2 linked regions of the Neodiprion lecontei genome follow. The protein of the gene in region 1 purifies or fractionates together with the protein of each later gene. This does not show direct contact. Links are inferred from orthologs where the notes say so. Each region holds a gene or a part of one and is shown in the gene's direction. Other genes may lie near its edges. The genes, in order: protein transport protein Sec31A and N-terminal kinase-like protein.

Evidence for each region.
Region 2: the proteins of protein transport protein Sec31A (region 1) and N-terminal kinase-like protein purify together in Homo sapiens (affinity purification with mass spectrometry; 3 studies listed by BioGRID and IntAct, counting the BioPlex papers as one, with this or other methods). This does not show direct contact. The link is inferred for Neodiprion lecontei from reciprocal best matches to the Homo sapiens genes SEC31A and SCYL1.

The regions. Positions count from the first base shown.
Region 1 is NC_060260.1:31,677,464-31,682,682, reverse strand, and holds the start of protein transport protein Sec31A, read left to right. Parts: upstream 1-1,942; 5' UTR 1,943-2,159; intron 2,160-2,291; exon of another isoform or gene 2,292-2,314; intron 2,315-2,682; 5' UTR 2,683-2,690; coding exon 2,691-2,893; intron 2,894-3,028; coding exon 3,029-3,351; intron 3,352-3,552; coding exon 3,553-3,650; intron 3,651-3,720; coding exon 3,721-3,966; intron 3,967-4,044; coding exon 4,045-4,338; intron 4,339-4,522; coding exon 4,523-4,870; intron 4,871-4,974; coding exon 4,975-5,101; intron 5,102-5,176; coding exon 5,177-5,219. Other genes in the region: protein aveugle, read right to left, coding at 847-1,023, 1,176-1,289, 1,387-1,425. UniProt on the Homo sapiens protein: Component of the coat protein complex II (COPII) which promotes the formation of transport vesicles from the endoplasmic reticulum (ER).
Region 2 is NC_060266.1:77,009-82,013, reverse strand, and holds the start of N-terminal kinase-like protein, read left to right. Parts: upstream 1-1,996; 5' UTR 1,997-2,254; coding exon 2,255-2,368; intron 2,369-3,111; coding exon 3,112-3,258; intron 3,259-3,339; coding exon 3,340-3,465; intron 3,466-3,823; coding exon 3,824-4,035; intron 4,036-4,528; coding exon 4,529-4,622; intron 4,623-4,714; coding exon 4,715-5,005. Other genes in the region: RAB6A-GEF complex partner protein 2, read right to left, coding at 1-34, 108-257, 353-460, 539-657, 1,385-1,506. UniProt on the Homo sapiens protein: Regulates COPI-mediated retrograde protein traffic at the interface between the Golgi apparatus and the endoplasmic reticulum. Involved in the maintenance of the Golgi apparatus morphology.

The DNA.
Region 1 (5,219 bases):
GTTCTATTGTTGGAACAAATAAAACACAATAATTCCGTTTTCACTCGCGAGTATTAACGCGTGCGAGCCGCGCTAGTAGAGACGTGGACTACATAGATTCTTACGGTCTGTTACTGTGCAATACCTTGCTGACTATTTATAGTCAAGCAGAATGGTTCGAGCAAGAATGGATCAAGCCTTTTCAACTAATGAAGCGACTCCGAAGACTTCGTTTTAACTTGTGCTGCTGTCTTGGCCTATATTTTGTTCTGGCCTAAATAATTTACTGATCATTTAATTACACTTAGTGTTACGTTGCTGGACAGGGATAACAAACTTTTAGTCTCATTGACCATCAATTTTTGATTTATTAAAAATATCGGCAAACAAGTATCTGAAAATCAGCCTATGATCAATACAGCTTTCATATTATATGAATAATGCTTGGTACATTTATAAAGCATATGTAACTTCCTATTTACTAAGGCTCATTGCGCCGCAGTTTTCATTTAGAATTTTCTAAAGAACATGTCTAAAACAGTAAGTTTTTGTGGTTTCAATTACATTTCGATCCCCTGGTAATATTTTTAGTTAAAATACTCATCAATGGTAGTAATAAAATAACTTTTTATCAAACAACTAGGTACAAAAATATGTTTTACTAATTAATATGTTAGTTTGTACATGAAAATGGGTGAAATCGGTATTCAAAGTGTGAAACGATTTTTCATCCATCGAAATATTGATCGCTTTGCTCATTCCCTAGATGTACAATATCAGTGAAAGAGGGAATATTCAATGAAAGGTACAAAGTGACTGATAAAAACATTAATTCTAATGATAGTAATTGTCGACACAATCTCAATATCAATCATAATTAGTATTATTTCTACGTTCAATATCTCTAATCTCCAATATGTCCGTTTTTAATCGCAATTTCATAATTTCTCTCCATATATCCGATCTGTGTTCCTCATTCACGATTCCCAATCGCAGTAAAATGTTCTCATTGACCCTCAGAAGCGCTCTGCCAGTTATATCATGCTGTATAAAGAGAAAACAACACAGGAATTAGGACCGCATCTGTTATATTCAAATATAATATGCTTGAAATCAATGAATTATTCCCTAAAGTCAAAATTACATACATAATACAATAAGTCGGACGTTACGTGCTATCATATTCTCTCACTTACATACAAAAACTTTTCATGATACAATTGATAGTAATCGCTACAGTGTCTCCGCAACCACTTCTGTACATCTAAGACATTCCACAAGTAAACTGGACGGGGCCGCGCAGTTTTATTCTGAATCACAGAGAGAATACTTAAGGCATGTGAAAACATTCTCACACTTAATAAAATATTATAACTTGTAATTCCAAGGATGCAACGTAACTCTTACTTTCGGTTTGTTATAAGAATTCACGCTCTCCTCAACCATTATTGAAATTTTAGGGTTAGAAACAATAATTGTTTACAGCAACGAGATCACCTGGGGGATAGCAGAAATTATTTTAATAACGGTGTTAATTGTAAAATAATCGTTTAATTTCAGAAAATGTAGAATACGGCAATTTAGACTCAATATTTGCCGTAATCTAAAAATAGAATTATACATGATAATTGCAGAGGAAACTGTACTGACCACAGTGTACTCAGTAAAATTGCACCATCAAATTGAGCTCGTTTGTTTCCCGTGCTAATTACTCATTGCTGTGCAGATCAGACTTCATCATCTTCAAATCATACACACACGAATGTACAGATATATTTTGAAAAAATATATTCATACGAATCAGTAGATTGTACTGTTATACGCTCTAATTGTAAGATTGTATCATAGTTCAGTGCCTGCCTGACATTTACAGTCAGAGCAAGTTTACAAAAGTTTACAAACATATGACTGATCCACCTGGTGTCGCTTTTAGGAACTAAATTTGAAGCCGCGCTATCACAAGTTACCACCGAACGGTAGCGACCAGTCGTAGCCGGCTACACTTCGTGGCTGGTTGTCGAGCCGGAGCCTTCCGCTGAATTTTGCTACGCCGCGCTACGAACTACAGGCAGTCCGGCAGTCGCCACGTTGGAAGTGTTGACGGTGGTGAATCAAATTTACCTGACGTTACCGAAATTATATTTATAAGGATTATTCATACTGAGCGGAACGAAAGCAAGGTTAGCCACAGGATTGTTTACATCATTATTCGTTTCAATTTTATGCCCAGATTGTGTTCTTAACTGCATATGTCAGGTAGTTCTTATTAATCCGTATGACATTTCAGTCGACTATCAAATCCTGTCCTCCACCAGACAACTGGACCTTTCATAAGGTGTATTACTTTATATTAGGAAAATATTTACGGTTTGTGATCTCATCTTGCAACGATACATCCAGTATTCATTGCTGTACGGCTCTATCATCAATGCTGTAGCTGATCAGATCTCTTGCGTAGCAATATTGCATCTTTCATTTTTGAATTATTGTTAAGAATTCATTACTCGTACTCCGAGTAATTAAAAACTTGATACCACTGTCTGCTGTTGTACAAGTCAGACTATCATGACCCGTTTGGTTGTATTATTGATAATTATTTGTGTACTTATATCTCCAGAAGTGTAACACATATATTTGCTTATGTAACTTTTTAAAAGTCATTAATTTAAAACAATTAATATTTTTATTCGTTACGGTGATCAGTATACAAGATGAAAGTGAAGGAACTGTTACGCACTGTAAATGTGGCGTGGTCTCCACCTGCTCAACATCCGATATTGCTAGCGGCAGGAACCGCTGCTCAACAGTTAGATGCTAGCTTCAGCACATCAGCCAGCTTGGATTTATATGCTCTTAATCTACAAGAACCCGGCTATGACATGGATCTTAAAGCTTCGATATCTAGTGATCACAGGTTACCCTTGAATCATTTTCTTCCTTTCATATTCTTATTGTTGAAAATCCATATAAATTTATGCTATCCTTATCTTCCCTTATGTTTCAATTTTTAGATACTTACTGATATTTAAAAGTGTTTCTTGTTTTCAAGGTATCACAAGATCATATGGGGATCTTTCGGCAACAATCCTGCTGGTATAATAGTAGGCGGTTGTGATTATGGAACTATAAAAATTTATTCAGCGGCTAAGATGTTAGCCAATGAAAGTGATTGCATCCTCAGTAGCCCTGACAAGCATACTGGTCCTGTGCGAGCCATGGATTTTAATCCTTTCCAATCAAATTTATTGGCCACAGGAGCCACAGAAAGTGAAATTTACATATGGGATCTCGTTAATACCAACACTCCAATGACTCCGGGAACTCGAAGTCAACCTCTGGAAGATGTCCAGTATATTGCATGGAACAAGCAAGGTATAGGGTATAAATTATATTATCATAAACTCAGGTGTAAATTTTCACTTACTTATAATTAATCGAATCCCTTTCCAAACTCGACTCAGCCAATTCAAATTCCAAAACTGGTAATTTGCAGACTTGAAACTGTTGATTTAACTTCAAAATTTTTTGTAGAAAACAGTATGATAATTATAAGATCGAGTGTTACTATTTCAGTGCAACACATTCTCGCTTCCACTTTCTCTCAAAGATGTGTGATTTGGGACCTACGGAAAAATGAGCCAATAATCAAGCTGAATGATGCAAACTCAAGGGTAGGTTTAGTTTTTTTCAAGTTAATCAAATTGTCATACACTATCAACCAATTACTCATCTTAACTTCAGGTTCGGTGGAAAGTGGTACAGTGGCATCCAGATGTTGCAACACAGTTATGCCTTGCATCAGAGGATGATCAGAGCCCGATAATTCAGCTTTGGGATCTCAGATTTGCCACATCACCCCTAAAAACTTTAGCGGCTCATCAGCGAGGCGTTCTTTCAATTGCTTGGAATCTACACGACCCTGATCTTCTGGTCAGTTGTGCCAAAGACAATAGAATACTTTGTTGGAACCCAAACTCAACGGCGACTGTAAGTTTATCTACAACTTTGCATGCCATATTTTGACACTTTGATTGAATTTAGTCATGAGTGTTCATTCAATCATAGAATGGAGAAGTACTTTGTGAGTTGGCACAAACAAATCAGTGGAACTTTGATGTCTCTTGGTGTCCACGCAATCCTGGATTAGTAGCTGGCAGTAGTTTTGATGGCCATGCAGTTGTTTACTCACTCTTGGGTGGTCAGCAACAAGTTTCAAGTGAAACTTCGAACAAGATTGCTGATTCGTTTCCTGGAATGGATGCCTTTGCTCAAGCACCGCCATTGCTGCAAAATGAATCAACAGTAGATCTGAAAAAAGCTCCTAAATGGCTAAAAAGGCCTGTTGGAGCTTCGTTTGGTGTGAGTAATCTGTGTACTTTACATAATTGTGTAATCTGTACGTTGAACTAACTTATACTCAGTTTTACCGATTTACAATTTACATTTTAACTCTTTTTGATGATATGAAATGTAGTCAGTAGGGTGTTAAATTTTAATATCCATGTTTAATTTGACAATTACACAGACATTTGTTTAATTTCAGTTTGGTGGAAAACTGACATTATTCGAAAATGACCCACCTAATTCGAATGGTCGAATCATTATATCACAAGTAATAACTGATCCAGAATTAATTCACCGATCAAATCACTTAGAAGCTGCACTCCAAAACGGACAGTTTGGCGATTTCTGCAAAGGAAAAGCTGATACTGCAACTAGTGATCATAATCGTAAAGTATGGAGTTGTTTGGGTGCACATTTTGGAGATAATATCACTGGAGATATATTAGAATTATTAGGATATGATTCGCAATCGATTAACACAAAGCTCAGCAAGTTTGTACCTGAAGAACAAACTGAAACAAGCACTGAACTAAATAAATTAAATAATGTAGGTATTTTTCCATCTTGACACAAACTGAAAAATGTTCATAGTGCTGAATGAATAAAATATTTTCATAAACAGATGAAAGTTACAATTACTCGTTGTAATAGGTTTCTAATGGCAATGTAACTGACGGAAGTGCAGCATTTGATGCGATTGCTCAACAGGAGCAGACAAGACAATCTCCAACTTCGATCAAGCCTATTGAAACCAATTTCAAACTCAATACTGGAGATGGTAATACTTTCTACATGTGTATCTAATTACCAGCTCACAGGTCTAAGGTAGTTTACTAATTACTTGGTATTTCAGATGAAGAAGGACTCATCACTCAGGCAATTCTACTTGGGAATAT
Region 2 (5,005 bases), on another chromosome or scaffold:
ACGCTGTCGTTACACGGCGCAATATCAGGTAGTTCTGGAATTTTTATGAAAGATGCATTCAATTGTTACATTTGAAAGCTGGATTATCCCACCCGAATATAACTTACCGCTCAACGAAAGGACTCTAAACGGAACTCGTAGTAATTTTATGGCAGAATTCACCCGCTGTGTGCCGATTGTAATTTTATAAGAATATTTGACTGCCTGGCCTCTGTACGAGGGGGGTGCATCACTCGGTATTCTCTCCCGGTATACATCTAGAAATATACGACCGTAACTGAATTATCTCATTTCTAAACACAGCCCCACCAATTGAATACCAAGCGAGAATTGAGAATTACACATTACATACAAGTCTCGCTTTCACCTGGCGACAGTCTGAGATCACAGAACAATATCTTTGGTTTTGTATTCAAAACAACGTGTCCATTGTCCTGCTGCCAAGGAGCGAACGTAGTATCTAAAAGACGATATCAAATGAGACTGTTTTCGGGCCAGTTCATCCAGTTTGTCATACTCGTTTACTTGTTTGAAGTACCTGCATTTATAGCTGCCGACTGGATAGAATTTAATCTCTCTGACAGCACCGCCTTACCGTTTGTAGAACATTGGCAGTGTACCTGTGCGCTTGCCCATGCCAGACTTTCAAACACATCACTGGAAGCAGAAGGAAAAGATGTTTTCGCAACTCAAATGTAAAAATAGGCGATTTTGGCCGGATGCTGAAAATAAAAAAAACACGCTATTACACAACTAATGACGCGCGCGTTGACAATTGGCGAACTATTATTCCACTGGAGGAAAAATATCGTTTTTGTCCACTCGTAGAGCAAAATATAGGCTCCGCATCGGTGGCGTGCTTTGTCTATATTCACGCTGTCAGTTCCCTCAGTTGAGGTGATGTTTTCGCGTCCTAGTAAACTGAACTTTTTGCTTGTGCATTTAGTTCAATCTAGTTTGAGATTGTATTAACATTCAATTTTTAAAAGATTCTCTTTTCTTCTCTCTTTGAATCTACATTTTCATCTCGATCGGCGGGCTTCGCCTCCTGTACCCCACCGTCGCGGAATCGTCGTGTATCTTGTAATTTTTTACCAAAACAGTCAATTTATTGGGATATCACGTCCCTTGCTCATTTTCAACATGCGACCGACAGCCTAGTCATACAGTTTTATTGGCCGCCAATCGCCTAATTTTACATTTTCACTGGGAAAAATATTACGTTCAACTCGTGGGCAAGAAGAGCCTTGAGTGAGTATGATATCCGAACTTCACACTCACTCACAGTATCGTGCCTTGCCCACTAGTTGCATGATATACTATTTTTGGGGGGTTCTGCGTTTTTGGGGGTATGCCCAGACTTCTACGAACACACTGTACAAACCTGTGGCTTTGGGATATCTGATGATTAGGATTTGTCGGGTTGCCGAAGGTGATACAGCACTCGATCAATTCGCCGGAAAAATATGCAGGTCCTCTAACTAATTTAGCCGTGATATCGATCATCTTTAACAAGTTGAGACGAAACGATCAGTGACGTACAGGCGTTGATTGTATATAGCTGAGTGTATTATTGTTCCGTTTAGTTAACGTACGCATAACACATGTATAACGTGTATGTGACTTGATGCGTGATGTACAATACTGAAGGAAAATGGAGAAAGTCGAAGAATTTAGATCATGCTTCAGATGAGAAGAAGCACGTATGTATGTCAATTCATACAATAGCCTTACATAAAGCCCCCGCGACGAGAGCTGTTTTCTCTTTGCAATTTTTCTGCAACGAAATTCCTCTTGAATGTATCTTCTGACAGTTAGCAGCACAGATCGACCAGTCGACGAGACGGTCTAAGGACAAGACACGCGGCAATGTCGGCTGCCTTGGAAAGCTTGGAAACTGGCCGACATTGGTTAATTCCGTTGGATCCTACCGATGAGCACATCGATGAATCGCTTCATGATCGCTTCGTGTTAAAAAAAATGACGTATGTGCGCTCCTATGCGAGCCACCGATATATGTATGTACACACAACATGTATGCCAGCTCATAAACTTAATACTTTACAACCAATCCGCACACGTCAGTAGGTACCAAAAAGCTGGAGACAAGAGGGCTGACAAAATAGTGACGATAACAAAATGAATAAACCAGTTTTTATGAAGTTTAGTAAAAAAAGTGGATAAAAACGGCGTACACGTACACGTATTATAAGCCGAACACCACGGTATAACGGGCGCTGTGTAACAGCGAAGAATGTGGTCATTTTTCTCCCGTGATCCTACCAAAGATTTTCCTTACGAGATTGGAGAGCCAGTCTTCGGTTTCGAGGGGAAGAGCTTGTGGACACTTCACAGAGCAAAGAGGAAGGTAACCTCATTTAACATAACCTAACCACGTTCCTTCAGCACTTCAGACGAATACCACGAGATCATCCCGCACCAGATCTCTGTCCAGAACTATGTACAGAACTATGTTGGATAAAGTCGGAATTAGGCTGACAGCGTGCAAAAGGAAACCGGCGATGTACCCCAGTGCTTGCATGTAACAAAGCTTGCGGCTTGTGTTCTCGAAGCGTCAATGCTGCTAGCTATTTCACTGTCTTGCTTAGCACGGGCAGCCCGTGGTAGTTCTTTGTCTGACATAGATTGGGTCCTTTTGAGTTATTTACTTTTAATTATTTATTTATATATTTTACGGATACGATGTCCTTTTACATATGAATTCAAAAACAAAAACAAAAACAGGATAGGTAGACCGGCCAATAAATGTACAATAACATGCATATAGAAAGAACAAAAATGTAATGGGAGGTGAAGACTGATGGATTTTTATGATAACTATAGACTAAACTTACTTTTTTCGTTTAAACTATTCGAGATTGTCTGAGGAGCGAGTGCTTACAGGTAGCTTATTCCAATATCGAACAAGAAGATCAAGTGCGTTGTAATATAAGTAGTTGCTTCTAACCGTTGGATCTTCTCGAAATGTATCAGGATTTTTAATAGGATAATTCATATCCCTCAGACTCTGCATATGCGAAGTTCGTATATGTGTAGACATATGCAAACACAGTAGCATTTCTTGTTGTGATTCAATGCATCTTCTTACAGGGAACCAATGTCGGCGAAGATGTTTCTGTTTTTGTCATTCAGGCAAAAAATGGAGGTGATGCAGATCTGGAAACCGCCAGAGCAGCTGTAAAAAGGTTAAAGACTCTCAGGCATCCTAGCATATTGACCTACCTCGATAACCTTGAGGTATGGTATCAAGCCAAGACGGCACTACGTCATCCTTGATCCATTGTCACAGATTACTTGAATTTCTCCGTATTCTTACAGACAGAGAAGACTATATACCTGGCAACAGAGAGAGTCGAACCACTGCAGTTGCGACTGCATGGAAACAATCTGCCCGAGGGGCAGCAGCGCGACTTGTACCTTTCGTGGGGGATTTTTCAAATCACTGTAAGTTGAAGAAATTTGAGATTTTATATTGTCTATACCTCTTTCCGTCATCGGGCATTGAGCGTAGAATATCCTGAGCTACTGTTGAAATAATAATGAGGCTTATACAAAGTGCTTGTTAACATTTTATCTATAAAAAGAGTACTGTAACTTATGTCTGTTGAGAATAATGAATCACTGGTAACTAACGGAGTGAAAGATATAGCAGTACAAAAATTGTAACGTCCCAGCATCGAGGCCATGCCGAAACGAGTTGTTGATCCAGACTTTTTCACGTTTCACGTGTCTTGATCAAAAGATCCAAGTATGGCAAAAAGAAGAGCGTGGGGCTATAATGATTTTATTTGTGTTTGAATAGCGTGCTCTCAGTTTTCTGAATAACGACGGCAATCTTAGACACAACAACATCAATCTCTGGTCGGTTTTCGTAAATGTGGAAAGTGGCGAATGGAAGCTGGGGGGAGTGGAGTACACGACAGGGGTAACGGTAAACTATACTCCCTTGCCCGCGGCCCTGCGCGTCTACCAACCTCCTGAAGCTACAGAAACCTACAAACCTCAATCAAAATGGTATAGAAACTTATTTGTTATGCGGTCTTTATGGTAGACATTGAAATACCGATATAACAAATTACTGTATTTACCAAAGCAAATTGTACCGATGATGGCGGTAGGTGATAGATAACAATTTCCATCACTTGGGACACCACCAGGACAAGGACTACAGTATAGCTAGGGTCCAGTTTGCACATGACATTGTGTTTATTTTAATTACAATGCAATATTGTGGGATTCTCATTAGCTTTGTTCGATTTTCCAAATTTTTTGACTATTGTGTGATATGACTATTTAGGTATACCTGATGTACAGGATATTTCAAGTTATTCCGCACGTTTCTGTACACTTTGGTATTGAACGCAGATGCTAGTAAGAAAATGCCGTACACTAGCACCTTATAAATCACCGATCAATCATATTTACGATACGATTCTAGTGCTGCTTCCTGAATATATCAAGTACGTTTGTTCAATACCTCATTAAAATCACATCCTTGAAATGGCAGCACGATTGACGCGTGGGGACTTGGCTGCCTCATATGGGAGGCATTCAATGGCCCGCTCAACAGGTCTGCTGATCTGAAGACCAAAACGAATCAGGTACAAATCAACGCAAGGTACCGCTTTGATGAGATTACATCCAAGACTGTACCTATGTTTTGCTATCTAGATTTTAATTTAAATTCTTTAAGATACCCAAACAACTATTGGCTGTGTATCGAGAGCTCTCCAGTCACAATGCAGACGTACGACCCAATCCAGCCGATGTGATAGCAAGGTGTAGAAGCAACGGAGGATATTTTAAGAATGACTTGGTCGACGCCCTCTTATTCTTGGAAGAAATCCAGATGAAAGAGAAGGGTGAGAAAAGTAGATTCTTCACACAACTAGCCTCAAAGCTGGAAAGTTTTCCCGATGGAGTTGGAAGGTATAAAATCTTACCCCAACTTCTGGCGGCATTTGATTTTGGAGACGCTGGAAGT